2 separate regions of the Mus musculus genome follow, and region 1 is reported to be linked to region 2. Evidence: microRNA targets listed by miRTarBase, many of them from high-throughput screens and not tested one by one. Region 2 holds a microRNA gene; the other region holds the end of a gene's coding sequence.

Region 1 (3,000 bases), not on the chromosome of region 2:
TGGGAAGTTAATAATTTGATCATAATAGTAAAATCCCCATCTTATGCAGACAGAATATTATAAGCTGGAACCACCCCAAGCCTTGGTTGTGTTAGAAAAGTAAGAAACCCACAGGCTAAAATTGCTCTACCCTTTAAAATGCCCCCCCCCCCCGTGAGTTGTTTGTAAAGCATACGTTTGTAAAGCTTAGAGCAACTTAACTGTGTGGGGGAATCTTAATTTCCTCATTTAAAAAACAAAAACAAAAACCTGTTGAGTTTGTTGGACAAAGGCATTCTGTGTGTGCTTCCAGCAGGGCTGGGTGCACAGTAACAGGCGTGAAAACAGCGTCACTTTGAAAGGACAGCCCGTGACATCCTGGATTCTCTACCATGTACCATGTTTTATAGAAAACTATCGAAAGTCAGCGTGAGATTGGTTACTCTTAACTGTGTGTGTGCATTCATGGGAAGGCCAGGGGCCAGCTATCCACTCCGGGTTATTTTTAGTGTTGGTTTTTTTCTTGAGACAAACTCTCTCATCATGGACCTGAAGTTAATCACTACACTAAAGATGGCTGGTGAAGGAGCCCCAGGGATCTGCCTGTCTCTGCCTCTGCAATGCCAGGATCACAAGCACACACCTGTGCCTGGCTGTTTTACATGGGATCAGGTTCTTACTGGGATGGCAAGGACTTTGATAACTGAGCCATCTCCACAGCCCGGAGCTGGTTATTCTTAACAAACACTAAAGGTTTCCCAGGTTAGTACCAGGAAGCTTACTGTGGCATTCATGCAATTTTGTCTGAAAGCAGTCCCCCCCCCTTTTTTTTTCTTGTTTTTGTTTGTTAAGTTTTGTTTTTTTCAAGACAGGGTTTCTCTCTCTGCTCTGGCTGTCCTAGAACTTTCTTTGTAGACCAGGCTAGCCTTCAACTCACAGAAATACACCTGCCTCTACTTCCCAAGTGCCGGAATTAAAGACATGTGCCACCACCACCCCATTCCTTTTGGTGGAATTTTACCCAATTACATAGCAAAGTCTGTCTTAACCAAGTACCATGTCTTAACTCTAAACTGAGACTGAATACCCTAACTGTGGACGTATCACCCAAACAAGGGCTTTGAGACATTCTGTCTCTAGGTCAATTGTAAAAGCCCTCATTACTAGGATTTCCCAGGAAGTCCATGTGTATGACAGGACTTAGTACCCAATCCCATCAAAGGTACTTGGTGGTCCTGGGAGATACTTTTCAATATCACAAATGTGTTGTTAATATAAGCATTTCCTGTGACAAATGCTCTTGGTTGTTTCCCCTCTGAGAGTGTTTCAATGTTTTACAAGATCATTTTTTGCAGTGGATGATTTCCAGGAAAGTGGATCTTCAGCCATCTTCCCTTGTGGCTGTAATTTTTCCTAACACCAACGGTGCTGCCTAAGAACAGCCAGAGCTCATTAAACAGAATCCTGAGCATAATTATAATGAACAATTAGCTGGAAATTAGTCTTAATGATTTGTTTTAGATGACAGACTAGAGGCATAATATAATTATTTTTAAACTTTCCTCGTCGTTAAGAATGCAACAGCACCACCTTTCAATTATGGTGAATCAGACCTCACGGAGGCTGCAGCCCACTCGTGGATCGGAGCTAAGGCAACCGGAAGTCTGCACCCCAGCCCAGGTGTTCAGAATCACTCAGCCTTCCTGTTCAACTAGTTTTTTTTTTTTAAAGCCATTTCATGCCTTGAAGACATCTCCACTGTGAAAACATAAAAGCACTCAACTGAGATCCAGCTTTCCTTAGACCTTTCCCAAGACACCACGGGGATAATGGCAGGTGGTAGAGGAGCCGGAAGACTCTAGAGTCTATGGGTGATGCCAGTTCACACCATCGCACTGGACTAACGGGAAGGCGGAGGAGGGTGAGGATGTAAGGGCGGCTGGGATAAACACCAGAGCTAGCGCTGGCTCTAGGTCATCTCTTCCCTGTCTGGTGTTCTTTTCCTTTCGGTGTTCACCAAGTCAATTTGAATCTTGTTTCTCATTAGAACTTTAAAAATAGGTTAGATTCTCTAAATCACGCGTGTGCGCATGCGTGTGCTCCCAATGTCCCCGGAGCTGGAGGTACAGGTAACTGTGAGCCACTGAACTTGGGCTCCGGAACTGAGCTTGAACCCGAGTCCTCCGCAAGAGCAGCAAGTCCTCTTCACTTGTAAGCCGTCTCTCCACCCCTGTCCTCACAAGAAGTTTTTAAAAAGTACAATAGAGATCCAAAAAACAAGTTGTTTTGTTTTCTGAAAAAAAAATCTAAAAATACACATTTAGAGAATGAAAAAGTATTCGTTGTCAAAAGTTTGCCTTTACAAAATTGTGGTTTTTTTCACCTTGCCTAGTCAGTGGGTGTGCCGTTTCTGAGCTTGTCTCCCTCTGAGCCAACCTGTTAGGCCTTTGGTAGCTGGCCATCAGAAGCCATCAGGGAGCGCAGCCCAACACCCACATAAAAGACCTGGTACCTGTGTTTCCACATCACAAAGCAAGCCAGCAAGCACACGAGGCCACAGACCAGGTTTAGGACCATCTGGATGATTAAGAACAATTTGAAAGTGCCAGTGACGCTGGTACAGTCAGTCACATCCCTGTAAACAAAGGCCCTGCTGAGCGGCTCCGAGGAAGGCAGCTTGCACTGGCAAGAATCCAGGGAGGTCTCGCAGGTAAACTGCGCAAGCAGGGAGTAGTGGTGGGCGGCAAAGGCCACAGCCAGCATGCAGACCATCAGGCCGAGGGCACTCAACAGGAAGTAGAATACCTGCAAGAGAAAAGAAATGCTTCCTGTTACAGAGAGGACTGGCCAACCCTGTTTGACTGAGTTCTCCCAGGCAAGGGCCAGTCTCTTCTCAAAACCTAACAACCAAAGCCAAGGATATTACGTCCCACTGTTTAGTTAAATCACTGACTTTTGCAACAGAGTACCCCAGGCTGACCCCAAACTATCTCTATAGTTGAGGGTGATCTTGAATTCCCA
Region 2 (3,517 bases):
GGCATGCTTTAAAAGGGTCAGTGTTAGGTAAAGACTGTGTCCCCCAACCCTGTGGGGTGGGTGGGAAGCTGAACGGAACCGATCCAGTTAGATTTAACTTGTCCTCTATGCCCTCTACCTGGCTTTTTTGAGCCATTGGGAAGGAGAATGGGGAAGGCTTAGAAAAGAGAAAGGGGGGGGGGGGACGACTGCCTGAAAGGATAAGGCACTAGTAGGGAGTGGGATGGACCAGGTGAGGGAGGTCTGTGGGTTAGGAAGCACCTTCCTCACTCTGGTGCACTGGGTGGGTTTGTTCAGGGAATGGCAACGTGGGTGTCTGTTGAAAGCAGTCTTGTGAAATTGACATGTACATGCATAAGGTGACTGGACTTGTGTGTAAACAGAGTGATGGAGAGCAGAGAGGGAGGGGTCTTAAAATAATATTTTATTGTCCCTATGGATTTGGGGATCTCTCCCCCACCCCACCCAGCTACATTCTATAGGGGTGACCTTTTAAAATCTACACCCACCCTTTACCTCTGTAAAACCGGTTGACGGGTGGGGTGGGGGAACATGTAGGGGTGCGCGCTCTCTCTCTCTCTCTTTTCCCCCTCCCCCCTCCCAGTCTCCCTCCTCCCTCTGTCTCCCCCTCCCTCTCCCTTCACTCCTCCCTCTCTCGCTCTCCCTTCGCTCCCCCTCCTTCTCTGTCCCTCCCTGCTGCATTTTGCATGAGCTATCTAGGTCATTAGCATTTTAGCGTATGCAAGACTTGACAAGGCTGATGAGGGGCCAGATGGGCCTCGCTCTTATTTATTTATTTTTTTTTTCTTTTCCTTTTTCCCATCCACCACTTGGGACCTAAGCGAGAGGACCGCAGCAGGAGAGTTCCGGAAGGCTGATTCCCACAGATCCTGGTAAGGGACCGCAGCAGCTCTGCCCTGCGGCACGCCCGGCCAGGCTACACCCGGACCCTACACTCAAGGTAAAGGCGGCGGTCACAAGCCCTGCCCAGGCAGCAGTAGCTGGGCCCCTGCTTCCCATCCCTTTCCTCTCCGTCATCTCCCTCCTCCTGGCCCCCCTCAGTTTCCTAGGCGAAGCTGAGAGCGAACTGGGTGGGTAGGATTCGCTGCGGTGGGGCGAGGTGGGGTTGATGTTTTTTCATTGTCTGGAACTGCAGGGGAGGCGAAGCGCGAGGAGAGGAGTGAGGGAGTCGGGGTAATTAACACGGGGGAGGCACCCCTCCGTCTCCCACTTCCACCCACATCCCGAACCCTCCACCCCCCTCCCCTTTGCAGGAAAAAGCTTGGAAACGAAAGGATGCGGGAGAACAAAGAGCCTACGGAGGACGTGGCTGTTATCTCATTGTCTGTGACTGGGGGAGCTGCGGTAGGAAGGATGCGGTGGTCCTTAGCTCATCGCGTTCCCCAACCCCACACCCTCCCTGCTGTCAGTGCGCACGCACACGCACGCGTCGCCAGCTTTTTCTTTCTCATCTCTCATTTTTTTCATCTCATCTTCTCCCCATCCCCTCCCTTTCTTTCCACCTTTCCTTCCTTTCTTCCTCCCTTCCTTTCTCCCATCCTCCCTCTCTTCCATCCTTCCTTCCTTTCCATCCTTCCTTCTTTCTTTCCTTCCTTCCTTCTTTCTTTCCTTCCTTCCTTCTTCCTTCCTCAGGAGAAAGGCCTCTCTCTCCGTGTTCACAGCGGACCTTGATTTAAATGTCCATACAATTAAGGCACGCGGTGAATGCCAAGAATGGGGCTGTCTGAGCACCTTGGGTCCACGAGGGCCTGCCACGGAAGGATCGACCCAGCACAACGCCCTGGGCAGATCTCAGCGCTGCAGCTGCAGGCGCCCACAGTACGGGTAGCAGGCTTCTGAGTGCCTCGCAAAGTAGCCCTTAGGGTGGGGAGGTGTGCAGCTACCGACAGAGAGGGGTTTGTGCAGATGCAAATAGAATCTAGGAAGCAAACAACTCATTCTGTGACAGAAACACGGATCTATGCAAGCGGGGGGGTGGTGGTGGTGGTGGCGGCGGCGGCGGCGGCGGCAGAAAATAGCCTGGGGACGGCTGGAGAGTAAAATGTGCCCCTCAGCTCTGGGACCCTGCCCATTGTAGAAGGCCGACACCTTCATCCCTACCTGTCTTAGTTCCGGATTTCAATTTATTACCCTTAAACAAATAATAATAACCAAGTACCCATGCGACTGGCAGACTGCCCCAAAGCCTAGACTGCAGCTACCTTGTATTGTGCTTGGGGTTGCTGGGGTAGTCTTTAGGGGAAGCTGTTTGTCACCCGTTGGTGGAGAGCTGTGGGCATTTGACAAGCTTAAACAGATCTCTGGAGTGAGCGAAGGCGATCGGCAAATTTGTTCATGGACAGCGCACAGACTCCATCAAAACTGACAGCTAGCCCACTGCTCTAAAGCAGGGCCTCCCAGCCTCCTTGGGGCTGTGGCTGAAGTTTCAGGCAGAAATCCAGAAGCTACAGGAAAAGGAGGCGCAGCCCACCCCCAGCCCCCAGAGTGTGGGCCTCTCCCCATCGCTCTTAAAACCCCAAGACAGAAGGAAAATCAGCATGAGTAAGGTGGAGGCCTAAGGAAAGTCTGTTTTGAAGCAGGCTGTCCAGGAACAGAAAGGGTTAATCCTCCCTCATCCTGAAGCACCTGCTTCCCAAATCAGCCCCCAACAGCAGCAGCTGGTCCTGGAGGCCCCCGACACAGTTCCATCCCGTCTCCATCTCAGTGTTCCGCCAACCTGCAGTGGATGGATGATGGCCTGGTGGCCGACCTAAACTCATTAATTTTCAGGTGGAGTAAATGGAGGAGGGGCAGGACCCAGCAGCAGAGGGAGGGAAAGGAGGCCAAGAGCTGGCCTCCTCCCCCCCCCCACAACCCACCCCCAGGAAGCAGGCTGTAGCCCTCCCCCCTGCTGTCATGCCAGAGGCCTGCCTTTGCAAGGCCAAGCCCATGAAGGATGTTTAGGAGTTTAATCTGATTCCTAACACAGTAATCAGGGTCTAAAAGAGCATCCGTTGAAGTTAATGGAGGACTCTTGTCTCAAAAAGCCTCAGCCTCATCTAGTCTAGTAAATTAGTATTTGAGGGTATATCATAGATCAGTACCTCTCTGGCCTAGTTTCCTCAAGAGTATTCATTATTTCTTGAGTATCTACTATGTGTCCTTCTTTACGATGATTTCAACTTCTAAATTTCCTCACAGAAGAGAATGTTAGAGCTAGCCAGGCTGAGCTTCAATTTACCACATTCCACCTAGGCATTCCCAGAACCTTCTCCCGCTCTGCAGAAATAAGCCACCGCCTGCTTACTCTTGCAGGCAGAAAGCTGCAGTGCCCACACCCTGAGGGTGTCTCTGGCTGAGTCCTACCGGACAAGCCAGACTGCTTTCAAGGCAGAAAGGGAAAGACCCAGCCACAATGGCTGTCCTAAGAGACGCCATAGCCATTGCTTCGAGAAAATCTACCTCCCTTGAAATAAAAATTGGCCCTTTCCTGGGGTGCTCCCTCACTTCACAAATG

Evidence for each region. Region 2 holds the annotated microRNA mmu-miR-3078-5p (CAAAGCCUAGACUGCAGCUACCU, at 2,202-2,224, shown strand). A microRNA usually pairs through its seed, bases 2 to 8, with sites in the 3' UTR of a target mRNA and lowers its output. Matches are read on the target gene's strand: a 7mer-m8 pairs with bases 2 to 8, a 7mer-A1 pairs with bases 2 to 7 and ends in A, and an 8mer does both.
Region 1: miRTarBase lists Sspn as a target of mmu-miR-3078-5p. Seed matches in the 3' UTR shown: 7mer-A1 at 1,706-1,712.

The regions. Positions count from the first base shown.
Region 1 is chr6:145,960,914-145,963,913 of GRCm38, reverse strand. It overlaps Sspn (sarcospan), which reads right to left. Exons shown (of 3, transcript NM_010656.3): 3 at 1-2,784. The coding sequence ends at 2,419. Among named protein-coding and RNA genes, the nearest start is that of Gm32838, 6.5 kb to the left of the region's middle.
Region 2 is chr14:64,588,999-64,592,515 of GRCm38, forward strand. Mir3078 (microRNA 3078) reads left to right here and starts at 2,187; the gene lies at 2,187-2,273. Mir124a-1hg (Mir124-1 host gene (non-protein coding)) reads left to right here. Exons shown (of 4, transcript NR_040709.1): 3 at 843-961; 4 at 1,275-3,517. Mir124a-1 (microRNA 124a-1) reads left to right here and starts at 1,659; the gene lies at 1,659-1,743.